Canis lupus familiaris: one gene and its partners. The protein of the gene in region 4 purifies or fractionates together with the protein of the main gene of each other region. This does not show direct contact. Links are inferred from orthologs where the notes say so. Each region holds a gene or a part of one and is shown on either strand. Other genes may lie near its edges. The genes, in order: NIPSNAP2, NUDCD3, EMC7 and KLHL22.

Region 1 (7,806 bases), on a different chromosome or scaffold from region 4:
TGCAGTGCCTGTGCCAAGCACTGGGCCAGGCTGTGGATATAAAGATGAATATCCTTGGCCCTGACTTCACAGAGCTCAGTTTGCTGGTGGGAGCAGAAAGACAACCAAGATCACAGCCCAACGTGAGATAAGCTCCTCAATGGACACAGAAGGTAGTGGCTGTGCTGGGTGGGGGCGGAGGAAACGGAGTCTAAGTTGGCCTGGGGGAGACATGAACCAATTCTCTGAAAGAAGCACATGTTGAACTGAAAACTTGAAAGATGAGGAGCACTTGTCAGGTGGATGCCCATGAGAGGAAGCAGAACCATACCTGCCAAAGCCAGGAGTATGTGAATATAGCTGGAGGTGAGGGGGAGAGAGGCAGCTGCATGAAAGAAGTCATTATGTGACTCTCCTCCTCACCACCAACCCTCCTGCTACCCCAACAAACCTGCTCTCCACAGTGCAGCTTCAGAGAGCTATCCCCTTTTATTTTTAAAAATTGTACGAAGCGGCGCCAGGATGGCTCAGTTGGTTAAGCATCTGCCTTCAGCTCAGGTCATGATCTCAGGGTCCTGGGATTGAGCCCCACGTTGGGCTCCCTGCTCAGTGGGAGGTCTGCTTCTCCCTCCTCCCCCCCACTCAAATAAATAAACTCTTAAAAAAAAAAAAAACTTCACAAAGACAAAGGAACAGTATAATAAAGACTTCTATATCCTGCATGTAGGTGAAAAAAGTGACATTTTATCATTTAAAATTTTCTATATAGATTTGCTTCTTTATTTTTACCAAACTATTTGAAAGCAGAGTATAGACATGACAGTACTTTATCCCTAAATACTTCAGCATGCACCTCCTGAGAATGAAGACAAAACCATGGTACGATGCTCACATCTGAGGAAAAGAATAATTCTAATGTCCCCTTCATACATTAAACTATCTCCAGTTGTTTCCAAACTGTTATAAGTTTTCCTTGGCAAGGGTGGGATGGGATGGGAAAGAAAAGGGAGCAGTACCCAGCCCAGGTTTATGTACTGGACATCTTCCTATAGGAAAAAGTTCTGCTCAGAATTCTTTAGTTGCCCCCTTCACCAACAGCTTCAAGTCCTCACTCTTCATGGGACTCCAGACAAGTGTTGCCAAGAGTTAGGCAAGGGAACCAGGGAGATGGTGAGAGAGAAGGCAGAGCCAAGACATGCTGGAGGTAGAACTGACAGATCTGGCAAGTGTCTAGCTGGGAGATGGTGGGCCTGGGGCCACGAAATGGAAGACGGGCCAGTACTTGAGAGAGAACCCAGGAAGAACAGGCAGGTTCTGTAGGAGGCAGATGAGTTAAATTCTGGGTACAGTAAGCATCTCAAGCAGGACATTAGTGTAATGTCCACGAAGCAAATGCAACTCCAGGCCTGTCACTGAGCAGAGCTAGGTAAGCGGTGCTAGCATATATCTCCTGGGAAGACAGCATCCTTCCCTTCTGAAATCCCTCTTGCAAGGTCACACACGGATCCCTGCGGGCAAATCCAGTCTTCTGTCATCTTTACTTTTTAGCAACATCTGGCACAGCTGGCCACCACCTCGTTGAAATACCTCCCTTTGGGCACTGCCACAAACAGCAACCTCATTGGCTTTCCCACATTCCCCTTGCTCCCTCTCCTTCCTACATTTAGCCTGTGAAAGTTGTTTTAATTTCATTCAATTGTAGTACTGGTTTCAAAAGTAGAATTAAGTGATTCATCACTTACATATAACATACAGTGCTCATCCCAACAAGTGCCCTCCTTAATGCCCATCCCTTTTTGTTCTCCATATCTGAGTCTTTTATGGTTTGCCTGTTTGTATCTCATTTTATTTTTTCTTCCCTGTTTTGTGACTTAAATTGTACATATGACTGAAATCATATTTGTCTTTCTCTGACTTATTTTGCTTACAATAATACACGCCAGTTCCATGTTGCAAGTGGCAAGATTTCATTCTTTATGATCACTAATATTCCAGTGTACATATATACCACATCTTCTTTATCTATTCATTGGTGGACAGACATCTGGGCTCTTTCCATAATGTGGCTAGCCTGTGGAGGTTGACATCTCAAAGCCTGTTTCTCAGCCCTTTCTCTTTTTTTTTTTTTTTTAAATTCTTATATGCTGGTCTTTATTTTTTTTTTTTAAGATTTTATTTATTATTTATGATAGTCACACGGAGAGGGGGAGAGGGGGAGAGAGAGAGAGAGAGAGAGAGAGGCAGAGATACAGGCAGAGGGAGAAGCAGGCTCCATGCACCGGGAGCCCGACGTGGGATTCGATCCCGGGTCTCCAGGATCGCGCCCTGGGCCAAAGGCAGGCGCCAAACCGCTGCGCCACCCAGGGATCCCTCTCAGCCCTTTCTCTATCCACACTCTTCAAGCAATCTCATCCATTCCTATGAATAATGTTTTGTTAAGAAGATTTTCAATTAAATGCAAAACAGTATAACAAAACCTACATATCTATCAACATTTAGCATTCCTATATACTGACAACTCCCAAATGTAACCTGTAGTCCAGACATCTCCTTTGAAGAGTCAAAAAGATCAAATAGGCCAAATACCTTTCCATTTGAATAGCTCACAGCCATCTCCAACTTTACCAGGTTCAGAAGTGCTCTGGATTCCCCCTTCCTGTTCTTCCTTCTCTGAATTAGGAGCAAGCTCCCAGATGGCAACAACTTTATTCACTGATATTTCCCAACAGCACCTGGCACATTATGGGCACTCATATGCCTATAGAACAAGGGACTTTCAGGAAATGGCACCAGCATCTGCCCAGTTGGCCACGACCCTTGATTCTGTCTGCTTTCCAAATCAGACTGGTATGTTAAAAACACAGGCCAGATCCTGTCACACTAGAATTTATATCTTTAAATGTCTTCCATGGCTTTCAGTATAAATTCCAAACTCTCTAAAATGGCTTGCAAGGCCTGGAATTATGGGGCTACTGCTCCCTGCCACCTGTCTTCTAGCCTCTCTTCCCTTTACTATGCTCCCCTTCCTAGGCTTTTCTGGAGCTTGCTGGTATGCCTCACTCCTTCCCAGTCAGGGCTTTCCTGCACACTGACCCTTCAGGTTTCAGCTCAACGGCACCTTCTTGGAGAGGCCTTCCATGATTTCATGTGGTAGGTTCCCTGAGGTTCTCTCACACCACCTACCTCAATCTTTAAGTCTGTATGGGTTTTTACCTCTGCCATATGGCTTGCTGGGCATAGTGACCCATAGTGACTATTATGCTGAGTTCCACAAAACTTCAAAAACATATACATTCATATACATTCAGTATTTGTAGAAGCAGTGAATTAATTGGGTCTAGACTGAGTCCTAAAGAACATCTACAGTTAAGGCAGTCAAAAGATACAAGGGGCCTGAGAGAGTAATCCAAGAGCTGACATGTTGGGCTTCAGTTTCAAGAGCATTTGGCCCCACAAGAAGTGGGGGTACTGGGCAGACCCAGGTCCAAATCTCCAGTTTACTAGTTTTGTGACTATGGGATCTATAGGTGAATATGCTGGGTCTTTTTGGAAAAAAGAAAATATGAATTTCATAGTTTCTTATCACCTGTGTGAAAAAAAATAAGACACACAGCAGATGCTCAGTAACAGAATGAAAATAAAAGGTTGATTTGTTCATCAACTTGGAAACATAAACATCAAATTTGGAAACACAAGGGGGATCCCTGGGTGGCTCCGCGGTTTGGCGCCTGCCTTTGGCCCAGGGCGCGATCCTGGAGACCCGGGATCGAGTCCCGCATCAGGCTCCTGGCATGGAGCCTGCTTCTCCCTCCTCCTGTGTCTCTGCCTGCCTCTCTCTCTCTGTGTCTATCATAAATAAATAAATCTTTAAAAAAAAAGTTGGAAACTCAAGCTGGACATCAGTCCTAGGAAGGGTGCCAGGCCTGAAGCCTGATAAACTTGAGTTCAAATGCCTTTTCCAGCTAGAGGTCTCACCTCCATGGAGATTACGTCTCATCTATAAAATGCAGATCCTGTTACTTAAGATTGGTACTAGGATTAAATTAAATAAACTCTCTGGCCCATAATAAGAGTTTAAAGAACAGGCAGTCCCTTTACTCTTTCGTTAAGCAGCAACTGAATTTAGTTCTAGAGGCTCGTTATTAAACCACAGATAACGTTTAAATGATAAATGTAAAGAAAGCAAGAAAGCAAATCTATGTAAGTCAGTAGGAGCTTGGTTTTTGATGGAAAACAGGACATGGATGTGTCAGAGGGATGAATTCAGGAGAGCCGAATATTTAATCCACAGAGGCTAGAAAAAGTTTAAAGTTGAACCCAAGGCCTACTTGGGGCTGATGCCTTGTAAAACCTTTCTGATCCGTCACCTACTTCTCCATCCCACTCCGGCGGCCGGCAGCGTCGAGCCCACCCCGCGACGGCCCCGCGCTCCCGGGGCTCACCGGCAGGCGCTCTTCTTCCCCCTGGAGCTCGTGCTGTCCGCAGCGCCCTCGCAGAGCGGACCCCAGGCCCTGCGCACAGCCCGCCCTGGGCGCCCGCGGGCAGCCGGATGCCGAGTCCAGGGCCTGGGGTCGCGCCGGGTCAAGGTCCCCCAGGCCAGGCCCACACGGCGCGCGGACGTGGCCTGGGCACCGGGCGCCGTCCCCGCCGTGACCTTGAGCACGACGGCCGGGACCGCGCTCTGACTGTGCCGAGGCCCTCAGCCGCCCCGCCCGCCCGGCCCGGCCCGGCCCCCGCTGCCCCGGCGGGCCTGCTCGAGGGAGCGCTAGCGGGCCGTGGACCCGCGCCCTCCGCCCTGGCGGCCACTCCCCGGCCGGTCCCGGGAGGGGCAGCGCTGCTCACCGGAGCGCAGGCTGCAGGCTGCAGGGAGCGGCCCGCCGCAGGACGCCGCCGGCCCAGGCCGCTCCGCAGGCCTGCACGACTCGCGCCGCCATCTTGCTCTGGCGCCTGGGCTCCCGCCGCGCGGGCCGCCGCTGACGCCGCCGACGCCGCCGCCGCCCCACGGCCACCACCGCGACCCCTCCCCCGGCCGGCCCGCCGAGGCGGGGGTGGGGCGGAGGGCGGGGCCCGCCGAGCGGGGCGGGGCGGGGCGGGGCCGCCGGGGTGAGGGCGGGGCCGCCAGGGGCAACTGACGGCGAAGCAGGAGAGGACATCGCCCCCTGCGGAAGAAGCTGGGTGTCGTGACCCGCCTGCGCAGGAGAAATATGAGCAGACGTTACTGTACAGTACCGGCCCGGCTCAGCGGTTTAGCGTGGCCTTCGGCCCAGGGCCTGATCCTGGGTCCTGGGATCGAGTCCCACGTCAGGCTCCCGGCATGGAGCCAGCTTCTCCCTCTGCCTGTGTCTCTGCCTGTGTCTCTCATGAATAAATAAATAAGATCTTAAAACAAACAAACAAAAAAAACAAAAAAAAAAACGTTCTGGATTGTTTGTTGCTTGGGTGCTGAGTTTGATAAGTCCAGTTATGAAATGAGCAGAAGATATGAACAAAAATTTCTCTAAAGACATACACATGGCCAACAAGCACATGAGAAAATGCTCCGCATTGCTTTTTATTAGGGAAATACAAATCGAAACCACAATGAGATACCACCTCACACCAGTGAGAATGACGAAAATAACAAGACAGGAAACAACAAATGTTGGAGAGGATGTGGAGAAGGGGAATCTTCTTGCACTGTAGGTGGGAATGTGAACTGGTGCAGCCACTCTGGAAAACTGTGTGGAGGTTCCTCAGAGTTAAAAATAGTTACCCTACACCCAGCAATTGCACTGCTGGGAATTTACCCCAAAGATACGGATGTAGTGAAACCCAGGACACCTGCACCCAATGTTCATAGCAGCAACGTCCACAACAGCCAAACCGTGTAAGGAGCTTGATGTCCTTCGACAGATGAATGGATAAAGAAGATATGCTATATGTATACAATGGAATATTACTCAGACATCAGAAAGGATGAATACCTACCATTTGATTCGACGTGGATGGAACTGGAGGGTATTATGCTGAGTGAAGTAAGTCAATCGAAGAAGGACAAACATCATATGGTTTCACTTATATGGGGAATATAAGAAATAGTGAAAGGGATTATAAGGGAAAGGAGGGGAACTGAGTGCGAAAAATCAGAGAGGGAGACAAACCATGAGAGACTCCTAACTCTGGGAAACAAAGGGTTGCAGAAGGGGAGGTGGATGGGAATAATGGGATAACTGTGTCGCAGGCACTAAGGAGGGCACTTGATGGGATGAGCACTGGTGTTATATGTTGGCAAATTGAATTTAAATTAAAAAGAATCATTCTGGATGTAAAGATATTCAAGTTATCTTGTGGTCTGGGGACTACATTGTTCCCGTTCATCCCAAGCCTGGTTGGTGCTGCCGCCCCCATCTGTTAGGGCAGGATATAAACCAACAACTGGCCGAGTGTGTCAGGTGTTGGCAGAAAGAGGCTCACAAGAGGCAACATGAGAGAGGGCACTGAGGGGACACGAGTTGACCCATGGAAGGGAGGGCATCTCAGGCCAAGAAGTAGGTCATGATGGCACGATTTATGGAAAATGTATCCTGGGTAAGATAAAAGCCACAAATGTAACCTTGAAAGCTGCAACCAAGACAAGTTAGGCAGAAAGGGAGTCAGTGAGAGAAGGGGGAGAAACAGGGAATAGGCCCCAGCTGAGGGGAGCATTTGGAGGGCAGTCCAAATCTGCGGAGGCCAAGAGGAAACTGCCCTCAGGACTGCGAAGCTGGGATGTCTCTGTGATCCAGGCAGGCCTCTGCCTAAGAGGGGTGGGGGCAGGAGCTGGGCTTCCTGGAGGCAAAGGCAGCATTGGAGTTTTCTGACTGGAGGACTATTTGAACATGTTAATAATGTCAGGGAGCCACCATGGAGGACATAAAGGGTCCGGTGGATGGAGGAGTGGCAAGGATTTGCTCCAGACCGGGGACATACATATCTCTTGGAGGCCATTGGAAAAAAGACCAAGGGACACAGGACAAGAGACCAGAGGCTGTGTGGCTGAGCGGGTTCCTGATCTCAACTGGCTTATGCTTAGTGAGCTGGTTAAGAAACCCAGATAGACAGGGCAGCCCCGATGGCCCAGCGGTTTGCCATTGCCTTCAGCCCGGGGTATGATCCTGGAGACCCTGGATCCACCCCTCGTCAGGCTCCCTGCATGGAGCCTGCTTCTCCCCTCTGCCTGTGTGCCTCTCTCTGTCTGTCATAAATAAATAAAATCTTGAAAGAAAGAAAGAAAGAAAGAAAGAAAGAAAGAAAGAAAGAAAGAAAGAAAGAAAGAAAGAAAGAAAGAAAAGAAAAGAAAAGAAAAGAAAAAAAAAGCAAAGCTGTTAGACCCAAAAGGGAGGCCAAAATGAGCTTTCCCCAGAGCAGAAAGGATATGTCCCAATCCTCCACTGCAGGAAGCAAGCTTCTTCAAGCCAGTGATGTCGGTGTACCCTTTGTGACTTTCTCACACATTCTCCCAACTTCCCAGCTATTTTTTAAGAGACCAATGCTTTAAAATATATTTTCCTGAAAAAAAAATTTTTTTTCCTGAGATGTAAGCTTGGTAAATATTTCTTGATGTTGCTTTTGTGCTACTTAGAATTAGGCCACTTACTCTGCATTTTTCCCTCCACTATCCTCTTGCTCTGGAGGACCATTAACCCAATGCTTTTTACTGGTGGGGCGGGGGATGGGGAAGTACTCTTATCTCACAGGTGTACAGCTTAGGTTACTCAATGCCACTAAAGAAATACAGGGCATATTCCTGGAACATAATTTTTACACCAAGATTATTAGGAAAAATATCTTAAGATATTAAAAAAGAGT
Region 2 (7,289 bases), on a different chromosome or scaffold from region 4:
AATTCAGGGCTCAATCCCACAACCCTGAGATCTTGACCTGAGTTAAAACCAAGAGTGGGATGCTTAACTGAATGTGCCCCCCCAGGCGCCCCCAAATTAAAACTCATTAAAAGGTAGTCACGGTTTTAAGGTCTGTAACAGCAGAACACTGGCAATAACCTCCGTGCCAATTACCCGGGGACTCGTTTAATAACCAGCTTGCTGACTGAAGGGGCAAAGGCAGATGGGAGCCCTGGCTGTGAGGGGCAGTGGGCTCAGGGCCCCTGCACATTCATGGTTCTGGCAGCCCGAGCAGGCCCGCGTGAGGACTGGGGACACGGCAGCCAATGCCAGAGACCAGAACCGCCATGGGGTAGCCAGGGTGGGAATGGTATGGGAACGCGCCACTGTGCTGACGGTGGGCTCTGACAGTACACACGCATACTCCATGATGCACGCGGACGTCCGCCAGGATAGCTCAGCAGCAGGTACACGATGCCGAGGCTAGGCAGGGGCTGGTGGAGGACAAGAGGACAGAGGCAGGATGGAGACTTTCTGCCACCCGCATTCACCCTCCTGGGAGCCCAATGTCCTGAGCACTCCCAACTCTGTCAGAAGCAGATATGGAGCCCAGGAGCCTTCTCTGTCCCTGGGACCCCCTCCTACATTTGTTCTGAACATCTTCGAAGAAGAGAACTCCATAGCACGCAGCTTTCAGACAAACTCCACCAGCTGCAGCAAGCTCAGGGGCTGGGCACTGCTGTACAAGACATGCTCAGAAGCCTTGGTGCTGTTCCGGAAGGTTCCTGCAGTGAAGACACGGACAGTGAGGCACAGCTGTGAGCCCACCAGCCAGCAGGACCTCGTCCCTTAGCGAAGACCACACAACTCTGGCAGGAACCAGCACGTCAAGGAGGAAAGGAATCTGCGCGTCCCTCAACACACTCAGCCAGGACCCTGCAACAAATCTCATGACACGTGCCACCTGAAAGGCACCGTCTGATGGGGCTGGGGCAGGGCTGGGTCCTGGTCTCTGCCTGGCGGCCTCAGCAGCTTACAGCTGTGGCTTTCATCCACAAGATGACAGGTTAGGACTAACAGTGTCTGGAGTGCCAGGTTCCAGCCCTGAAATCCTACTTTTCAACAAAATGCCAGGTTCCTGAGCAGCCCTGGCAGACACTGCAACCGCCCCAGTGCTTCCGCGGTGAGCGTGCCACCCCTGCTCCCTGCTCCACGTCTGCACGGCGGCCAGGACGGGGAGCCAGGCGGTGGTCCCGGCAGAGCGCACGGAGCCGGGCGCTGGGCACAGTTCACGCACACGTGGGACCAGAGCTTCACCTTGAGGGTTTCTGATTCACCTGCAAAATGATAAACTAGAAAAAGGCTGCATGGAAAGTACAGACACTTGCACATCACACATTATGCACATGCTCCGTCCTGTCCTCTGCCACACTTGACAGTCTGTTTCTACAAAAAGTCAGCCAGGAGAGGCAATGCTCTGGAGTCCCCGGTGGGAGACTCGGGGTGCAGGAGCCCTCCCACAGCTACCCGCAGCCCACTGCCCCCACACCCCAACGGGGACTTCCACACTGAGCTGCCACCACCACAGCTATCAGCACGACGATATCTGACAGGTGCCACAGACGAGGCCCAGAAATAAACACTGCTGACAGGGAGCTATGACAGGCACCCCAGGGGAGAGCCGGAGGGAGCCAGTCCAGAGAGAAGGCGCAACTCTGAGGGAAAAAGCCCTTAGACCAGCAAAAGCCAAGAGACACGAAATACATCTATTCCAAAGTTTGAAGTTAGTCACGGCTGAAACTCCTAGATCACTAAAAACATGAGAGACCCCAGAGTTTTAAGAGAAGGAAGAACACATACTGTGGGGTTACTAAGTGAGTCCTAAGTTCTCACCACAAGAGGCACCCCTTGGAGGGAGGTGACAGGCGTTCCCCAGACCTAACGCAGACCAGGAGCAAGTTGCCGCATTGGGCATCTGAAGCTGGTACATCAACTGCACTTTTTTTTTTTTAATTTTTTATTTATTTATGATAGGCACACAGTGAGAGAGAGAGAGGCAGAGACACAGGCAGAGGGAGAAGCAGGCTCCATGCACCGGGAGCCCGACGTGGGATTCGATCCCGGGTCTCCAGGATCGCGCCCTGGGCCAAAGGCAGGCGTTAAACCGCTGCGCCACCCAGGGATCCCTCAACTGCACTTTAATTACCAAACAAAACGAAACAGTAATGTAAACAAAAAATACTACCAAAGGCAAAGGCCCTCCCCTCAGGTCGGCGACGCAGCCCAGCTGACAGGAGCATAGGAGCATGGCTGGCAGGCGCCACAACCAACGCAGCCAGGTTGACAGGAGCATGCCGGCAGGCGCCACAAGCCTGCGCTCACGGGGACCACGGCTCTCCCGGCTCCCGTGCTCCCTGCAGCCCATCCGCCCGTGGGGACCGAGCAAGCCCCTCTCCATCACTGCTCCTGGTGCGGCCACAGGACTGAGGGCCGGAGGGCCGGGAGGACGCGGCCAGGTGGGGCCTGAGGCAGCACAGCACTCGCCGGGGGGCTGCGCGGCGCAAGCCCGCGGACTGCCAGCCCAGAGCAGCAGTCCTGGCCCAGCCTCGGGAACCCTCGCATCCTCAGGAGAGGTCCCGGGCGGCGAACCCTAGGGCTGCCCTCAGTGAAAGTGAGGACCTGTCCCCGAGGTTGCGACGCCCCATGTGAGAGGCATGGATGTGACCCCGAGGTACAACGGCCTGTGCCTCAGGCGATGCGCTGAGGGGCAGCAGGACCTTGTAATCCAGTGCCCATGGCCGAGCAGAGCGCATTCAGGCAGCGACAGCAGGAGAGGCATGTCACTGGGTCCCCAGAGTCAGAGAGAAAATAACTAGTTTAGGCCGAGCTGGACGCAAGTCCTTTGGGAGAAAGCTCCAGAAGATGACGGGTCAGTCAGACAGAGAGCAGACCAGGGAGCTGTGACGATCTTCAGCAGTGTCCACAGCCACCGCTGCACAGAGTTCCCTCACCCGCACAGGGCAGTCCCACCACAACAGGAGTCCCACCCACAGCCGCTCTGCATGAGCCCCAAGATGCCTGCATGGGACCCCCAGGAGGGTTGGCCTGCACCAGCCGCCCTTGACCACCAGCACCAGAGGGGCCGCGGTCACCTGAGCCAGACCTTGGGACGAGCCCTCGCCACCGGGTCTGACTGGGGTCCCAAAGTCGGCCTGACGAGGGACCCCTGAGCCTTGGTGAGATCTCCTCAGACAGGACAGGAAGGGAGGGGACGGGAGACGGGCAGCCACGCCCGACAGCCAGTCGCAGCCCCACGGAGCCGCGAGGCCCGTGCCAGGTTAGGCCGCCCTTGGGGGCGGCTGGCGCCAGCCAGGCCCTGAATACAGGGGCGCCTGTCCTGGAGGAGCCCGGGCAGCCTGGGCCGGCCTGGAGACAGGGGCCTGGAGGGCTCCCCGCTGCCCAGCCCGCCTCACCCATGACCGGATCTGCAGGGCCCGGCACCACCTCACACGGGGCTCATTTCCAGAGAACGCCGGTGCCCCTCACGCACGAGATCCTGCTCCCGCGCTTTGGGCCTTCTCTGGGAAGGCTGCCTGCAGCGCGGCTCTCGGAGCAGCAGGAGCATCGCAGGCTCAGGCCCCTGCGCCCGGCCCGGCTGCACACAGCCATCGGCCCCCAGACCCAGTCTGGGCGCGGTGGGAGCGGGGGGCCGCGGCAGTCCCCGTGTCACCAGAGGACGAGCAAGCCCTCAGCGCACCCTCGCCCTCAGAACATGGAAGGTGCTGCATGCTCTGCGGCTCCGGGCCCCTGGGAAGCCGATAGCCAGGACGCGGTGTATGGTGGGGGAATTCTAATAAAGTGATGTCCCGTTTCACAGACCACAGGGTTTCCTTTAAAGTGAAGCCTCCCTACTTGTGACACCCTGCAACAATGGCGCTCTGCGCGCGGCTCCTGAGGAAACCTCTCTATGCTGCTGAAAGATTCAACTTCCGCTCGCGCTCCGGGAGATGGGGAGAGCGACTGGAGCTGTGAGCGCCCCCACCCCACCGGCCATGACCCCGCCCCACGCGGGAGCTCAGAGCCTGGGCGCCCACGTGCACCTGACCTGCTTATGGAAGAGGCCTCCGGCCGCCCCGCCTCCCCTGCGGTGTCCTGTGCGGACACCCGGCCACGCACCACAGGATGACATGGGACAGATCCAGCACCCACCAGGTGCGCCCGAGCGCAACAGCAGGCTGGCGGGGCGCGGCCGTGGCTGCAGGGGGACGCGGAGACCGGCCCAGCGGCTCCAGCACAGCCCACCCCCAACCCCGCGTGTGGAGACCCCAGCCTAGGGAGCCCCGTGGTTACCTGCCTGCCCTTCACCACGTGCTTCGGCACCGGCACCTTGAGCTCCAGGTCGGTGTAGTCCTGAGACCAGGTGTAGTTCTCACGCACAGCACCATTGTAGCTGTCAGGGTTTCTCTGGAACTGTTCCTGCCTCCTGGGGAAGAGCGATAGGTGAGATGGCACCTGGGCCCACACGCGAGGGACCACGACCCCATCACATGCTGGGCCCCCCACAACTGATTGGGCCACAGGCCCCCCGGCCACACACGTGGGCCCCCTCACAACACACGCTTGTGCCGCCCACCATGCACCCAGCTCCCCCATGCACCCAGGCCCACACAGCTGATTGGGTCACAGGCCCCCCACCGCACACCTGGGTCCCCCACCGTACACCCATGCACGCCCCCATGCGGGAGTCCTGACCACAGATGGTCTCCAGCTCCTGAGAAGTTCCACCTAAGTCTCAGGCCTCCCAGGAAACCACGGGGACACAGGGACACTCTGTAGAGCCCCTAAGCGCTGTACCCTCAGCTTGGGGGGCAGCGTCCACAGCTGCGGCCCACAGCATAGCTGGGCCTACCAGACTTCACCAGGCTCAGAAAGCAGGCCAGTCCCTCAACCACAGGACCTCGGTCATAAAGACCCAAGGCTCCTGCTTTCTCACAAATTGCTCGGCAAGGCCTGTCTTCACAAAAACGTAGACCAACTTCAGCCACAACTTCTCAGCTTGCACCCTAACCCAACCACAATTCCAGCTTTCTCCTGGTAAATACTGCACTGCACACCAAACCACAGGCTCTAAGAGGTGAGTAGCATGCCTGGAAATCCACCAGCCACACCCCACTAACTGCGGGGCCAGCCCGGCACAGAGGCAGACAGGCCTGGCCAAGCAATGTTACAAGTAAAATACTGCAAAACATTTGCTGTTAAACGTCAGGCTGCTGCTAAGAGCATAAATAGCATTATAAAAATAAGTGTGGACTCACAAACCCACTATGGGGAATTTTACAACTAAATTAAAGACAGGGGACGCCTGGGGTGGCTCAGTGGTTGAGCATCTGCATTTGGCCCAGGGTGCGATCCTGGGATCCGGGATCGAGTTCCCCATCGAGCTCCCTGCATGGAGCCTGCATCTTCCCTCTGCCTGTGTCTCTGCCTCTCTCTGTGTCTCTCATGAACAAATAAAATCTTCAAAAAAAAAAATTAATTAAAGACAGAAGCCCAGTCGTGGAGGAGGACATACTAACAAGTGCAGCTTGGCCGCCTTCTCCAGCCCTTAGGGAGCCCCATGAACACACCCATGGGGAGACCCGGCCTGCTGTGTGTCTTCATGTGTACAGATGAAGATGCACACACCCCATCAGCCCCCAATCTCGGATGAGAACAGTTTAACTCCTGTAGGTACGCCTCACACGCTTTCTATGTGAGACTGGGTGTTCATCACAGTCCAACCCTTGGGGCTAGTAACTGGCTGCCATCAAGGGCTGAAGTGTGATACCCCAAATTCTGTTATCCTAACCTCCAGCAGCACCTCAGAACGCCTTATTTCAAAGTTAAAATGAGGTCGTCGGGGGCCCTGATCCACTCGGTGTCCTTCTCAAGGGGGAGACCGGGACGCGAAGATGCACACAGAGGGATGATGCTGCGAGCACCACCATGCAGCTGCGGGCCACGGAGGTGAGGGCTGTCCGCCTCTGCAGAAGCTCAAAGGGGCCAGGAGGGCCCTACCCAGTCTGGAAGGGAGCTCGAAAGACAGCCCCACAGAGTAGGGTGGAAGAGGCAGGAGAGGTCAAGGCAGGGCATCCCGGGCAGGGCCACCACAGTACATACCTGTGCACAGCTCTGTGCACAGCTCTGAGCACGGCCCCCAGGCCCGTTCCCTAAAAAGAAATGCACACGTGCGTGTACGTGTCCAGGCACAAGCCTGGTGAGTGTCTGTGGGGTTTCTGGGTGGTGGAGTCAGAGCAGTTTGCTTCTCTTCTCTGTACCTTTAGCCATTACTCAATTTTGCCCCAAAATGGACATCTGATCAAGAGAAAAAACAGCTCTTCAAGACAGGAGATGGCAATCTGTGCCATGGCCCCACAACTGGGAGCTCTCCCATGACCATACCAGCTTGCTCACACCTTGACACCTGAAGCAAGCCCAGGGAGACCAGACCAGCACAGCAGGACAGGGTGGCCAGGACCTGCACCTGCATCCCCTACCCGCTTGAGCAGCCAGTGAAGCTTTAAAGCTCACAGCAGATGGACAAGCTCCAGCAAACCCGACCAGCATGGAGCCAGGAGACTCAGCCTAACTGCACGGCCTTTAAAAATGTGCATATTAACTACCTGAAATCATCAAAGCTATAGGAACACAAAAATAAACATACAAAATAAAGGCCAACGTGGCTGGCGCTTGGCACAAATCCAGAAATAAACCTCAAGACCTCTCACAGTGGAGGGATGGCTATGTCCCACACACTGCACTGAGCCCCTATCAGCCGGTGTCCACACACAACCATAATGCACAGCAGATGCCACGAGGCCACATCTGCTCGAGGGGCCACCCTGCGCCTGTGGAGCTGTGCCGAAGGAGCTGTCCCGGAGCTGGGTGCTTACAGAGGAGCTCTGGTCACACTGCAGTGCGGGGCGGGGCAGCTAGGCAGGCACTGGGCTGGCTCACCCCGAGTGGACCCTGCAGCCTCCTCCCCACAGAGCCAGGCACACTGCTGGGTGCTTTTTTTTAACACTTGGAATCCACATTCTCTTTAAATAAAGTTGGTTATTTCCAGCCAACAATGTGTAAAAATAAGCCTCCTGTCATGTGCAGGTGCTCTGGGCCCCCTCGCTTTGTCATCCCTGACAGGCCTGTAGCCACACCCCTGCAGCTGCCAGGGAGTACACTGGGGGTGGGGGGGAGCATGAGTCAGCAGCCAGGCCTCCCTGCAGCGCCCACGTCTGAAGAGGCCATCAGGC
Region 3 (7,930 bases), on a different chromosome or scaffold from region 4:
AAATCTGTAAGCTGGAGATATAACTTCCACTACATAAGATCCAGAAGGTATATCATGAACCACAAAACTCCCATCTGTCCTGGAAAAATGAAAATCATTATTTGGATACTGCTGATCAACAGCTTGCTTTCTTCTTATGTTTTAAATCATCTGTTAACTCCTAAATCAAGCTCCTCCAAATGACACAGAAGTTAGAAAAAACAAAACAAGAAACAAAAAAAACACCCAAACTGGCAAGAATTGTCCCCATGCTTCAGCTTCCACAATCACACTGAAAGGATTCTGACAACTCTGAGCACTCCACAGGAGCAGAGAATCCTGACATAGAAAGCACTTCTAATTCCTTCTGTGGGACAGCTGATAAAGAGGGTACTGTTTCAATTCTGAAGCCATGTCTTCATTCAAGGGAAATTATCAATAGGCATTATTACTACAATATTAAGGTTTCAATTTTGCCAACCTCCTGCAACAATTCCTTAATTAAAATGTAATGGCTTTTTCCTAGTTTTTGTTTGCATTTTGTTGTCTTTCTAAGAAAAAGGTCATCAAACACCATTTGTTCCACATATTACATATAGTTCCCATCTACTTTGGTTACTTTTGTTTGGATATATAGAAGTTTAATAGATTTATGTGGTTAAAACCATTTGCCTTTTCTTCCCGATTTCCTCTATTACCTTCTAGACTTAGAAAACCATCCCACGAAGAGTTGATAATCTCAGGTTTACAATCAAAATTAATTTGTTTTGATAATGAGAAACTGACCTTCTGAAGAAAAAGAAGTATCTGTTTCAGGAAAACAAATGATCCTAAAAAGATCTGCTTTAGGGACACCTGGGTGGCTCAGTGGTTGAGCATCTGCCTTCAGCTCAGGGCGTGATCCCGGGGTCCTGGAATCAAGTCCCACATGGAGCCTGCTTCTCCCTCTGCCTGTGTCTCTGCCTCTCTCTGTGCGTCTCTCATGAATACTAAAATCTTTTTTAAAAAAATCTGTTTTATCAAAGAAGTCCTAGTATAATACATTGAATAATGCTTCTTAAATCATTAGGCTCTTTCATAGCTAAAGAAAAAACTGATTCTGCCACATTCACAATACTTACAAAGAAGCAGGAGGAAAAGATACTCCTTGCTACTTCAAAGTACACACTAAACTAAAACAGAATTGAAATGTAAACATCAAACTAACTTATTCCTGGGCTGGAGGTCTTCACTGGCCCTTCAGACCCACTCTCCACCCTTTTCCTCCCTCTTTGCAGACCGGAAGGAAAGAAAATGAGCTTAGCATATTTTTCCTCAGCTCTCTCCCTGAGAGGCCATCTCTGACTTGCTCCATCACAGGGCAGAGCTCCTCTTGCGGCAGTCCTTTCCTGCCCCAGTAACCTTTACTTCCCCTACTTCCTTCAGGCTTAGAGGTGACAGTGGCTTTGAGGTTGTAAACTCCAGAGTACTGCACAACCTGGCTGTTTCCCTAACACCATGACTACACTGTTTAATCCTTTCATTAGACTTCCCTTGAATTATTTATTCTGGAGTGTAAATTATGCTTTATATACACAGTGATGAGAGCAAGAAGTGGCATGAAGCATCCTCAGTCAAAACCCTCACCTCCATTAGCCAAGACCCAAGCCACCCTCAACAAGCAGAACTATAAGTCAAAATGGCATTGTAGTTATGCATAACAGGTATAAGACAAATTACTATCCCTCTTCCAACAAGAGTCCCACCATAAGCTCTTCATATTCTTTTTTTTTAATTCTTAACATTTCTATATACAAATGCCAGAACATGAAAGGATGTCATAAACTGCTCACAAGATATTAAGTGGAAAAAAAAAAAAAGGCTACAGAGTACTATATATTGTATTTTACTATTAAAAACAGGTCATATGATTACAAAAAGGCTGGAAAGGATACGATAAAATGTTGTCTTATCCCTTACCTCTTGTTTATGTTTTCTTCAACAAACATATAACTTATACCTTATTTTAAAACAAAAATTATAAATGCTTCTTAAAAGAATTATATACCACAGAAAAGAGAAGCCAAGTGGTCAGTTTAGGCTAATTTCCCAAGGTTTTCTTTATGTTTTTTTTTTTTTTTAAAGATTTATTTATTCATGAGAGACACAGAGAGGCAGAGACACAGGCAGAGGGAGAAGCAGGCTCCATGCAGGAAGCCGGATGTGGGACTTGATCCCGAGTCTCCAGGGTCACACCCTGGGCTGAAGGCAGGCGCTAAACTGCTGAGCCACCCAGGGATCCCCAATTCCCAAGGTTTGAGTTTCTTCATTAAAACATCATTAGAGGCAAACCCTAAAGAACGCCCTAACGCCAGATTTGTAAAAACAAATAGCATTAAGACTAGCTTCTCGGGCAGCACAGATGGCTCAGCGGCTTAGCGCTGACTTCCCCCAGGGAGTGATCCTGGAGACTTAGGATCAAGTCCCACCTGCGGCTCCCTGCGTGGAGCCTGCTTCTCCCTCTGCCTGTGTCTCTGCCTCTCTCTGTGTGTGTATGGCTCTCATGAATAAGTAAATAAAATCTTAAAAAAAAAAAAAAGACTAGCTTCTCATCATTATTAATCTGAGATTCAAATTCTAATTCAACAGCACCCGGGTGATCTGAATATTTGCAAATCAGATTTAGAAATAAACGTCCAAAAAAGAAAGAAAGAAAGAAAGAAAGAAAGAAAGAAAGAAAGAAAGAAAGAAAGAAAGATCCATATTTACGATGTCTGGTTTTCAAATACCACTTGCTGGTATACAAACCAGTCAGGAAAACACTTTTTCCTAAATATTTTTATTTTTTTTAAGATTTTATTTATTTATTCATGCGAGACACACAGAGAGAGGCAGAGACACAGCAGAGGGAGAAGCAGGCTCCCTGCAGGGAGCCCGATGTGGGACTCGATCCCACGACTCCAGGATCACGCCCTGGGCTGAAGGCAGACGCTCAACCGCTGAGCCACCCAGGCATCCCCCTAAATATTTTTAAATTATTTATTTATTCACGACAGACACACACACACACACACACAGAGGCCGAGACACAGGCAGAGGGAGAAGCAGGCTCCATGCAGGGAGCCCGACGTGGGACTCGATCCCGGGTCTCCAGGATCACCCCCCGGGGCCATCGGAGCTGCCCTAAATATTTTCTTTCAGTTCAGTTTCACACCCCAAGCAGCGAATGAAAGACTTAAAACATCACAGTTGTGTCTAAACATCTGAAAAGCAGGTTACTGCAAAACTGGAGTGCTAATAAATTCACCACGTTCTTTAATAGAAGTTGAAATCCCATTTTTACAATGAGCTAGAAAAGACTGAACCATGTTAGCAAATATGGAGAAACCCCAGTCTCACACAAATGCCCCAAATGTAATGTTGCAAATCCCTCGATGAATTCAACTGTAAAAAAAGAATAATCCCACCTCCAGGCAAAAAAAAAAAAAGGTGCTTTGATTAGGGACTTCAGGGCCCATTATTTTCAGAAGCAGCAACATTAGCCTCCCAGTCTATGCCATCATAGAAATCCTTTGGGCTTTGAGAATTCCCACTCGCTCAGCATATTTCTACACAACATCAAGCTGCCAAAAGACAGAAATGAATGCAAAAGTGGCCAGATTCGGGGACCCCTGGGTGGCTCAGCGGTTGGAGTGGTCGACCCCGTAACAAGGCAAAAACGGAGTTGAAGAAAACTGACCCCCCCTGCTCCGCCCTGGGACAAGCACCTGCCACCCTCGCTTCCGAGGTACGGGGAAACGGGGTGATGGGGAGGAAAGGGGAAGCGCGGGGCTGCCCCCCAAGGTCTCCCCGCACAGACCGCTACCGGCGCCCACCCCTTCGCCCTCCGATACTTGGCTCGCGTAGGGGCAATTCCTCTCTAGCGTCCACGCCAACCGCTTTCCCGCTGCCCACAGGAGGCTCACTTAAGAAATCCGACATGCTCTTCTCCGTCTACCAGCACTCGCGCCGCCGAGATCCAGTCCTGGGGCTTCACCCCTGGAACAACCGCACGTCCCTCAATCTTGAAGCGGTCTCCTGTGCCGACCCCAATCCCGCCTGACCCATCGGCAGCAGCCCCAGGCAGCTCCGAGCTCTGGGCATCCCCTGAGAGCAACAACAGGAGGAGGGAAACGAAGCCCCACTGCACGGCCGCCATGACAGCAGCTCGCACCAGCCAGGCCTGCAGCCCAGGAAGCCCTAACCGTCCCCCAGTCTTCGCCGCCGCCGCCGGCCGATGTCGTCATCACTGCGCGCAAGAGGCGGGGGCCGGCTCGAGCTGTGGGCTCCAAGCCAAGGGAAGGAGGCTTGCGCCAATCGCTTGCGAGGCGGAAATGGGGCAAAGTACTTCCGGCGCGCGGGGCCGGAAGGCGGTCTGAGGCGAGGGTCGGTGCGTCCCGTCGTCGCTCCACCCACCGAGCGGCAGTGCGGCCCTGTGCGCGGCGGCGGCGGCGGCGGCGGCGGCGGCGGGACCGCGCCGGAATGGGAGGCTGTGAGGCCGAGAGCGACGACCCTCTGAACCGGTGTCTGCAGATGAGGCCCCGGCTTCAGGAGACGCGGGTCCGGAAGAGAGCGCTTAAAAAGTTGTAGGGATGCTCCGAGACGTGCGAGATGCAAAGGCTCCCGCTTGTGTGCGAAGGGGATGACGTCTGTGCCTAGAAGAGTGGGGCAGGTACACAGACTGTTCACTGAGGGTCGCCTCCGGTGAAAAGGGAGAGGGTTGAAGGCCGCTTACCCGCACGACACCGATCCCGGTTTTCAGGGCTTTACCGTAAACAACGGCGGGGGTCGGGGGAACCAAGCTAAGATGGCAGAGAGCATCTCCAGTATTTTCACCTTCTTGATGACAGAAAGAGAAAAGGCTTCTGCCTAAGATTTCTGTTGGTTATAAACGTTGTGCTCTCGATGACACATTTCTGTTGAAGATTATCGAGCGAAATGCGTGTTTCTGTTCTGTGAACTCTTAGACTTAGCTTCCCGAAGAAAAGTAACAAAAATTGGGAAAAGGGATGGAAGAGCCAAATACTCTTGAGCCCCTGGCAAGGGTTAGAGACGCGGTATCCGCGGCCACCCGTGCTCTGTCCTCGGGAGCGCCCGCAATTGTCGGGCGGAGGTACTTCCCCCTTTCTTCACAGTTGATCCTTGGAAGAAGCAGAGCTACTGTAGAAAGGTTATCATGTGTTATGGCCCTACCCTCGACCACCTCCTGTCAAAACTGTACTAAACCATGAAATAAAATTTCACTTTTCAAGAACGATACAAAATTTACAAACATGCCAAAATAAAAATAGCTTCATCCCTAAATGTTCACATATTTTTGGTGATCTGCTTTGCTGGTGTCTCAGACATGTTAATTTGATTAATAGGTAATCAGTGGGGATCCCTGGGTGGCGCAGCGGTTTGGCGCCTGCCTTTGGCCCAGGGCGCGATCCTGGAGACCTGGGATCGAATCCCACATCGGGCTCCCGGTGCATGGAGCCTGCTTCTCCCTCTGCCTGTGTCTCTGCCTCTCTCTCTCTCTGTGACTATCATAAATAAACAAAAATTTAAAAAAAATTTAAAAAAATAGGTAATCAGTGTTGGTCTTTTTTTTTTTAATGATTTTATTTATTCATGAGAGACACAGACGCAGAGACACAGGCAGAGGGAGAAGCAGGCTCCATGCAGGGAGCCCGACTAGGACTGGATTCTGGGACTCTGGGGTCATGCCCTGGGCGGAAGGCAGACGCTCAGCCACTGAGCCCATGGTGCCCCCAGTGTGGGTCTTAATACCATATAGGAGCGGTGGAGTTTACTTTTTTGAGGGGCAATGTGGAAGAGGACCAGCAGCAAACAGCAACTGAGCTCTCAATTTCTTTCTCCTTGTTCCCCTATCTTATTGTCACTCTAATGCCAAAGGATCTAATGATCTGAGCCCCTCGAATGCCAGGCTTCTACCTCCATGGGCACAGCTGGAATAGAGAAGACTAAGGAATGTTTTCTGGTAGTGTGAAATTCTATGACCGCTGGTGTTTGCCAAGCAAACCGTAGGAACTGCATAGGTTTCTAACTCTAAATTATACAAGAGTAATTCCATAATGTATCCCTTGAACTCATGCCTTATAAAAGAAAGTATAATTATAATGAAATATTTTAGAAAAACTATGTCCTGGACCTACTCTGTTTGTCCAGCCAGATGCACTCTACCCCTCACTCTACTTTGTGCCTTAGAAGGCAGGATCTTGAAGGATTGCAAAAACTTGGTTCCTTGACTTCTGGAGGAGGTATATGGAGGACACTTCAGTTTCCTTTACTTCTGCCCATACTTGGAAGAAGTTCAACGAAGGAATAATTTACAATAAGTCCTTCAAGTCTTCCATCTATTATTTCCTGTCAAGATCTTGACCCATATAGATTTCGAACAGACTTACTTACCTTGATTATGGAAAATACTGTTAAAGTGAGAGGTGATCCGTTTATTATCCAGGCCCTTTGGTTTTCTCTTTCTCCTCTCTTTTTTCTGCCTAGCTCTTGGCTTCTTCATATCATGGCCACAAGGGGGTGAACAAGGATAGGAACAGAGAGACAACCCTCAAAAAAACCACACTAGGGCAGACCGGGTGGCTCAGCAGTTTAGTCCGGCCTTCTGCCCAGGATGTGATTCTGGAGACCTGGGATGGGTCCAGCGTCGGGCTCCCTGTGTGGAGCCTACTCCTCCCTCTGCCTGTGTCTCTGCCTCTCTCTCTCTCTGGGTCTCTCATGAATAAATAAATCTTAAAAAAAAAAACAACAAGGCACTTAAAATGTTGGATTGTACCAGCAGAGGTTGAGCCTGGGTTTTACAGGTAGTATTTATTTCCTTTTTTAAAAGGGTGTTATGGGGATCCCTGGGTGGCGCAGCGGTTTAGCGCCTGCCTTTGGCCCAGGGCGCGATCCTGGAGACCCGGGATCGAATCCCACGTCAGGCTCCCGGTGCATGGAGCCTGCTTCTCCCTCTGCCTGTGTCTCTGCCTCTCTCTCTCTCTCTCTGTGTGACTATCATAAATAAATAAAAAAAATAAAATTTAAAAAAATAAAAATAAAAAAAAAATAAAAGGGTGTTATGTTTCTGATTTTTTGCAATATTTTTATAACAAATGTTTTATCAATGTAAATTACAAAAATAGAAAACCTTTTTTAAATAGAGACACTAACATATATATATATAATAGAATTTACTTTGAATTCTTATGGTTTGAATAAGCCAAAAAATGGTTGCCATCCTTATCTGGACTTTTCATGACCACTTAAAGTGCCATCTTTTATGATAGTCTTTTCCTCCCTGTCAATAATTTGCTTGTCAGCATCCTCCAGAGTGAAGGTGCTTTTTAAACAATTCTTGGTGCATTGGCTATTATGGAAGAAGGTAGTAGGTTAATGAGGTGTGACTACAAAGTAACGAGGATCATGTCCTTCACTACTTCTATTTAAATCAGGGGGCTTTAGGTTTTTTTTTTTTTTTAAGATTTTATTTATTTATTCACGAGAGACACACAAAGAGAGAGAGAGAGAGATGCAGAGGGAGAAGCAGGCTCCATGCAAGGAGCCCCACGTGGGACTTGATTCTGGGTCTCCAGGATCACGCCCTGGGCTGAAGGTGGCGGCGCTAAACCACTGAGCCACCCGGGCTGCCCGGGTTTTAGTTTTTAAGAATAGAATAATATTAGCAGAATGCTTGGGAAACCTCACATGTGCTGATCCCCAAACAGCCTGCTATTTACTTTAAGTGGTTTTTGCCCTCTGAGTTCTCAAACCTCATTTACTTCAAGTAGATTAGCTAATCTTTTTCACTCAAGCTGGAGCCAATTTCCTTAATATTTTAAAATGCCCATCATCCACTAGGACTCAAGTTTGACTTTCTGAAGTTCCCTGTGGAGTCCTCTGAAATGGGATGTCATCCACTGTTCTCAGAGGG
Region 4 (7,289 bases):
TCAGACCCCACAGGTTGAGGGCTCAGTCCACAAGATGGTACCGCCCCATCCTGCCTGTCTCCGCTTCAGACGCTAGTAATAAGCCCAGGCTATTATCTATGCTTCTGACCTACCAGTTAATAACATGAGGTTCCAATGACCCCCTCCAGCTCAAAATGCCAATTACAAGCACCAAGCTGTGCCTTTGACTGACTAGCTATAAATCAGAGGTTTCTAAGATCCCCCTTTCTTTGGGTTTCATTAATCTGCTAGAGTAGCTCACAGAACTCAGAGAAACATTACACTTACTAGATTAACTGTTTATTGTAAAAAGATATAAATCAGGAATACTCAGGAAGAGATGCACAGAGCAAGGTCTGGGGAAAGGGCAGGGAGATTCCAAGCTCTCTCCAGGCCCGTGCATCACTCTCCCAGCACCTCTAACTAGGTGGTCACCAACCCTGAAACTCTCCCAACCCTCTCCTTTTGGGTTTTGATGAAAACTTCACTACATAGGCACTGATTGATTAAATCACTGGCCCTTCTCTGAATGGCAGGGTTGGTTCTCCCGGTGACCATCCCCCACTCACACTCAGGGGCTTCCAAAGCCACCTCATTAACATAACAAAAGACAAAATTAGTGTTCTCCTTTTATGAAATTCCAAGGGGGGTTTTGGAAGCTATGAACCAGGACCTATAAAGACCTAACATACAGAAAAGCACATAGAGTACATCACAGTAAGCCCCACCTTCTTGGAAAACTGCCTGCTCAGAGGACCTTGGGGGACCCCATGCCTGGCAACACCCCTGACACCAGGGCAGGCAGGGGTAGTGAAATCTGGTTCAGTGATGCCTGTTGGTTTTTTGGGCTCCCTGGACAGAGGACCATATACTACAAAATAGGGAGGGAGGACAGGAAGCCATCCTCACCAGGGGCTTGTGGTTAAGAGAGCTGATGGGCAAATGGAGCCCGGGATGAGACATATCAAAGCTGGAGAGGGCAAGATGGAAGGAGCAGCTGCCTGCCCAGTGCTCCTGGCAACTAGGTCCCCTCCTTCTGAGGCGGAGCCCTGTGCCCAGCCACTCCAAGGCACAGTCACTCACAACCTATCTCCTCACCCACGGACAGCAGGGGTGACCTATGGTAAGTGGGTTTGAGAAGAGGAAAAGAGTGAAAGCAAGCATGCACAGTCTCCTCTTCCTTGCCTCATCACAGCCTGCACTCTCCAAATTAACCTCGACTTTAACCCCAACAAGCCACAAGATTAATTTAAAAGGCTAGTGCCTCAGCCCTCGCAGAGCCCACTCCACAAGCAGCCTCCTGAGCCCATGGCTCCCGCACCACAGGGTCACCCACAGCCCAAGTCTCAGCCAAGCACTCCCGCCTACCTCCAGCACCGGGACTCGGCACGGAAGCCCTGCACATTGTTGTCCCCTCCAATCAGGTACACAAAGTTGTTGAGCACCGCGATGCCCTGGTTGGACATGCGGGGGGCCAGGGAGGCGGTGAAGTGCTTCCACTCTCCCAGCAGGGGGTTCAGGTACTTGGCTTGGTCACTGAGGACAGTGGATGGCGTGGAGTGAATGCCCCCAAAGCCCACGACGCACTGGAAGTCCGACCGCAGCTCCGTCTGAGGGCCCTGCAGGCTGGGCTGCAGGCTCTCGTTGCGGTGGTACATGAGGGCATTGGCCACCGTGTCCCTCAGCGGGCTGGGGTCCAGCTTATCGTGCAGCCGCTGGAGGACCTCAGCTTCCATCAGGGGAAAACGTACTGTCTCAAGGAGCTTGGGGGGCTCGTGCAGTGAGATCTGGTCAGCCTGTACCTGCTCCAGGGTGTAATGGTAGAGCAGGGCACCCTCATATACCTCGGTCTCACAGGAGACCTCCAGGCGGTTACTGCTGAGGAGGGAGTAGACCTTCTCCAGGGGAAGCTGGCGGTACTTGTCAGTCCGTGAGAAGGCCACAAAGTTTTTGAGGATGTAGGTGTCCAGCTGCTCAGTCAGACGGCTCAAGTCAAATAGCTCCGCCAGCCGGTAAACATCAAGGATGTTCTCTTCATCCACCCAGGACATGAGGAAATCACAGCAGAAATGAATGATTTCCGGGATCTGTGAAGAGAACAAGCCCCGCTCAAGCCCAGGCTGGGAAGAATGTGTCTGGGTGAGGGAGCCTGAGGCTAACAGCAGACACACAGCTGTTGGCTACAGCAGGCCCCCCTCCACCACCCCTGTCCTTCCCTGGCACGGCTGCTTTCCCCCAACTGAAGAGGTGACTGGGGCTCACTGCAGACTGACTGGGTTTAAAACCAGGCTTCGAAGCGACCTGTGAGTCGCTTTTTTTAACTGCTCTGAGCCTCAGTTTCCTCCTCTGTAAGTGGAGAGGAATAAATTTGAAGATGAGACTGCACCCCAAAGTATCTGGCATGGAGTGGACCCTTTCAGATCAAAAGAAGTGAATCTTCAGAGAATCAGGAAGCAGCACAGTGGCCACATCAGCCACCCTGGTTTGGATGGCACCTGAGACCTGTGCCTGCCCCTCTGCAGGCTCTCTACAAGATATCCAGCTCTCTTCTCCTGCCACAACCCCCACAATTGCAGATTGAGCCAAAGCTGCAGGCCCAGGGATCCCACCCCAGGAGAAGGATCCTGAACCACCCACGAGCTAAGAACTGCCAGCAGGGTGTTTCAGATGCTCGCCCAGCACTCTTCCTGGCAACATCAGACAGTTCTTGAAAGGCTGGAAGCCATCCTGCCTGGGGAAAGGCCTGCATGACTCTGGCTAGCACAGGGGTTCCAGGTGACATTTGCCTTCTTCCAATTGTGCAGAAAAACCAGTGAGTTGGAAGAAGGGCAAGACAGAAGGGTGCCGAGGCGGGAGATGAGAAGTGAGCCCCGGGCTTAGAGGTTATCCCATGATTAGACAATCAGAGCATGGCAGGGTGAAGGAGGCAGAGAGGAGGGCTCTAGGGAAAGCTGCCCAGGCATTGCTAAGTTCTTTAGGAAAACAGGATTTTGAAAATGCACTAAAAATGAGAATGCCTCACTCATTACCAACAAATTAATCAGAACACACAGAGAATTCTGCTGGTGTGAGGCTTGTTAATAAACATTTAAAATCTCTTTATCTTTATTTTTTTCTCATTCCAAAGATACTCTATGCTTGCCAGGTCATAAGCTAGGAAGGACTGAATGGAAACCTGTAAAGTGCCAGGCATGCGTCTGTCTGCCCCACATGGAACGTCCCCATAGTGCTGTTAGGTCCTGAAAGTCTTGACTACCCATTTCTTCCTCGATAGGCACTTCTGCTTTGCCTCTTCTTCCTAAAATACTTCTGATCTGTCATGGGCCAGGACACTGAGGGCCAGGTTCTGGGTAGAAAGTGACAGCAAACAGTCCTCAGTGGGCATGACAAGCAGCTCCTGAAGAACTGCTTCGTGTCACTCTCTTCTTCCCATCCTCATTGTCACAGCAGTGGGCCCTCTGCTGGGGAAGCTCACAAGGAATCACCCCAGGCCTGCCCAGTGCAGGAACCCCATTAAAGGCTCAGAGAAATGAACCCTTGCTGGGGGTTACCCAGTGGTGACAGTCTTGCTGGGATTCAGATCCAGGTCCTGGGGACACCACAAACAGTCTACTGATCCTAAGCTAGTTCAAAGCACAGCACGTGGGGAGCATGTAATCAATGGCTACACAAACGTGACCATGATAGGGCCTATGGACTTGCAACTGGTAAGGAGGGGCTCCTTCATCCCATGCTATCCACACAATAGCCTCAGAAATATTAGCTAAAGTGCTCAGAAGCACTGTCTCAACTCCATCTACTCATTGCATATGGTGAGCCAACCCAACAAGCACAGGCCAAGGGCCTCCCACCTGCCCATTTGAGAGCGACAGTGCAGGGAACTGCTGGGGCTCTCCCATATAGTGTGGGACCTCCAGACACCCTTGAACAGGTTGGTTTTCCTGACATATTTTTTCTGGCCCCAAATGTGTTCTGACCTGAAAAAAGGTCAGGATAATGAATTCGGCATAGCATTTCATTTCCACTTTCAACAAATGTAAAATGAGAAGTCTCTCTAGTCAGGTGAGGCTATCTGACAACAGCTACTGAAAGCAAAAGGCACGTGCAGGCCCAGCCCTCATGTGGCTGCACCAGCACCACTGAGGTAATACAGCCTTCTAAAACGTAGGTCACACTGCCAAAGCCTCAGAAGACTTCCTGAGTTCTATAGAAGAACAAGCATCCAACATTCAATGACAAAAAAGAAAGTAGTTTCAAAGAGATGGATGAAGTCAAGTTGGGTGGATGAGCAGAAAGGACTTGGGAACTGTGGGAGAAGTTCAGCTTCATTAGACACTGGGGCATGCAGGACATCACACACCTGCCTCGGGGTCAGCCCACATGTTTATGTGCAGGATCTTCTCAGGGGCGGGGACACCCAGGCAGAAGGAAAGGAACCAGCAGAAGAGCAGAAAGCAAAAGCAGAGGAGCCTGCCTGGAGGCATTTGGAGCAGCTATGCTTCAGTGCCCAGGGTTGGCTAAGCCATGCACCACCCAAGAGCCTCTGCCACCTGCAATCTCCTTTGCCACCTGGTATCCTTGCCTGCTGATCCCCCTCATGCCACTACCTGGCAGACACCTGGGGATCACCTCCTGGGTTTGGGTTTGCCTTGCTCCAGCGAGGGCAGCCTCACCTGCAGCTGGCAGGCGGCAACCAGCGTCTCCTGGACATTGCTCAGGCTGAGCTCCAACTCGGAGGTATAAATGAAATGCAGGATTTGGCACATGGCATTATAGGACACACCGTGGATCAGGACCTCTTCCTGCTCCATCTCCTTCAGTCCCCCAGCAAACATTCCTCTGCAAAGTAAAAACACAAAACAGCATTGTTCTATCAATCTAAATCAATCATAAGGGCACCTGGATGTCTCAGTCTGTTAAACATTCAACTCTTGATCTCAGCTCAGGTCTTGATCTCAGGGTCATGGGTTTAAGCCCCATGTCGGGCAAATCTGTATCAATTAGGACACCAAAGTGAGAGGGAGCTGGGGGCAGGCTGACCCAGCAGTGATGTGCAACAGAACACTGGTGTGTGTTCTGAGAACTGAGTCTTGCCACGGAAGGTGCCCACAAGCTCCTGACCAAGTTTGGACAGCTATCCTAGAAATCACCATCTGTGTTTCATGTGTTGCAGGGTGTTGCACGTGAGCCTCTTGGAGTCAAGGACATCTGGCTTGTTCTCTGGTACATCCATCTATATGCTTCCTGGATCACAGCAGCAGCCCAGAGCATGTCAGGAATGAATAAATGGATGAATGAATAAATGAATGAAAGGAAAACATGTAACACAAGTCACTCCACTCCAAATATATTAACTGAGCTCCTAACTAAACGCCAAGTACCATTCAGAGTCAGAGGAGTAACAGTCAAGGGACGCCTGGGTGGCTCAGTGGTTGAGCGTCTGCCTTCAGCTCAGGGCCTGATCCCGGTGTCCCGGGATCACGTCCCGCATCAGGCTCCCTGCATGGAGCCTGCTTCTCCCTCTGCCTGTGTCTCTGCCTCTCTCTGTCACTCTTATGAATAAATAAATAAAATCTTAAAAAAAAGGAGTAACAGTCAAGTAAAGTGGTAAGATTCCTACTTATGTAGAGTGTGATGCTAGGAAGGAGGACAAGAACAAGGTACTTCTGAGTGAGGAAATGCTAGGAAAAAGCACAACAGGGCATCTAACCTAGGAGCACCCGGCTAGGAGAGGGGAGCAGCTGGAGAGTGATGAGGAGCAGGGACAGGCCGAGATGGAGGTGGGTGGCACCTCACCAGCCAGAGGAAGGCATTCCAGGTGGAGGAGACAGGAGCCCAAGTTCTGGGGCAGGGATGAGTTCAGTACCCAAGGCAGCCAGGCCAGTGCAAAGAGGAAGTGAGCAGGTGAGACAGGGCCACGTCTCTGCTTTCCCCAGGTCAAGACTGAGTCAGGATTGAAATCCAAGCATATTATGAAGCGCTGTTGGGGAATTTTACACAGGAGGCTGGTGTGAGCAGACTTTTCAGGCAAGAGGGTTCCTGCAGACCTGGGGAGGGCCTGGTGGCAGAAAGAACATGCTGAAGGACTGAATCTGGGAGAACACTGGAGGAACCAGGGCCCTTGGCTGGGTTAGCTGAGCTGACAGGGACTTGGGAGGAACAGGGTCAGAGAGTGAGGTCAGAGTCACCATCAGTGAGATACCTTGAGGCATCCCAGGTGAGCCAGTTAATAAGTTGTTCAGAGGGAAGAGGCTGGTTGTCAGGGGAGGCAGCAGGGCTGAAATATGACAGCCATGCATAGAGGACAACGTAGCTGTTTTTACATTTTATTTTTCCCTCCTCTGCTCTGCTCCAGGCCATCAGTTCAGTCCATGTACCTTATATTCTACATCACATCATAACAATGCATCTTGGAAATGGCTCCTTACTGGTACATGTAGGGCTGCCCCTCTTCTTGTAAAAACTATCATGGTTGATATAACCCGCTGCTATAATACACCTGGGTTTTGTTTTGTTTTTTTTTTTTTCCTTAGAGATGAAGAGGGAGACTCCTAAGCAGGCTCCCTGCTCAGCACAAAGCTTGACGTGGGGCTTGATCTCACAACCGAGATCATGACCTGAGCCAAAATCAAGAGTCGGACACTCAACTGACCAAGGCACTCAGGCACCCCCACCTGGATTACTTCTAATCTCCCATTATTGCACCTGATAGAGGGCCTTACCACCATGACATTTTGCTTACGTGCCTGTCAGGATCATTCCTATGAAAACAACCGTTAGGACACAGGGTTTATATACATCTATACTTTGATAGTACTGCCTACATACTATCAATCTAAGGAGGAACCTTATAATGAATGAGAAGGTAATCTTATCAAATGTTTAAGTGTCATTTCTTCTTTTTTAGTAAGTTCTACACCCAATGTGGTCATGAATTCAATAACCCCAAGATCAAGAGTCCCATGCTCTTCCAACTGAGCCAACCAGGTGCCCTTTAAAGTGCCATTTCTATATTCTTTTTCGAACAGTCCAGATTCTTGGTCCATTTTCTCTTAGACTCTCTCTTGTCACTTTGAAGAAATCTGCCCTTTTGTGGATGAGTTGAAATTTTCTTCCTACCTCAGATCTTTTGATTTTACAATGCTTTCTGCCATGTACAATTTTGTCTGTTTTGAATACAAATTTCTCATTTTCATGCCTGCGAGTTTTATGACAAACTTAGACATTTTCCCCCCCTCTGAGGTAACATTAAAAAATATTTCTCTCAGTGGCTCAGTCAGTTGAGCACT

What was found.
Region 1: the proteins of KLHL22 (region 4) and NIPSNAP2 purify together in Homo sapiens (co-immunoprecipitation; 3 studies listed by BioGRID and IntAct, counting the BioPlex papers as one, with this or other methods). This does not show direct contact. The link is inferred for Canis lupus familiaris from reciprocal best matches to the Homo sapiens genes KLHL22 and NIPSNAP2.
Region 2: the proteins of KLHL22 (region 4) and NUDCD3 purify together in Homo sapiens (co-immunoprecipitation; 3 studies listed by BioGRID and IntAct, counting the BioPlex papers as one, with this or other methods). This does not show direct contact. The link is inferred for Canis lupus familiaris from reciprocal best matches to the Homo sapiens genes KLHL22 and NUDCD3.
Region 3: the proteins of KLHL22 (region 4) and EMC7 purify together in Homo sapiens (co-immunoprecipitation; 3 studies listed by BioGRID and IntAct, counting the BioPlex papers as one, with this or other methods). This does not show direct contact. The link is inferred for Canis lupus familiaris from reciprocal best matches to the Homo sapiens genes KLHL22 and EMC7.

Annotation. Positions count from the first base shown.
Region 1 is NC_049227.1:361,090-368,895, reverse strand, and holds the start of NIPSNAP2 (protein NipSnap homolog 2), read right to left. Parts: upstream 4,978-7,806; 5' UTR 4,914-4,977; coding exon 4,822-4,913; intron 4,484-4,821; exon of another isoform or gene 4,359-4,483; coding exon of another isoform or gene 4,351-4,358; intron 1-4,350. UniProt on the Homo sapiens protein: Protein involved in mitophagy by facilitating recruitment of the autophagy machinery required for clearance of damaged mitochondria.
Region 2 is NC_049237.1:14,199,663-14,206,951, reverse strand, and holds part of NUDCD3 (nudC domain-containing protein 3), read right to left. Parts: intron 4,484-7,289; coding exon 4,351-4,483; intron 1-4,350.
Region 3 is NC_049251.1:1,219,912-1,227,841, reverse strand, and holds the start of EMC7 (ER membrane protein complex subunit 7), read right to left. Parts: upstream 4,251-7,930; 5' UTR 4,157-4,250; coding exon 3,924-4,156; intron 80-3,923; coding exon 1-79. UniProt on the Homo sapiens protein: Part of the endoplasmic reticulum membrane protein complex (EMC) that enables the energy-independent insertion into endoplasmic reticulum membranes of newly synthesized membrane proteins.
Region 4 is NC_049247.1:30,434,006-30,441,294, forward strand, and holds part of KLHL22 (kelch-like protein 22), read right to left. Parts: intron 4,840-7,289; coding exon 4,674-4,839; intron 2,088-4,673; coding exon 1,369-2,087; intron 1-1,368. UniProt on the Homo sapiens protein: Substrate-specific adapter of a BCR (BTB-CUL3-RBX1) E3 ubiquitin ligase complex required for chromosome alignment and localization of PLK1 at kinetochores.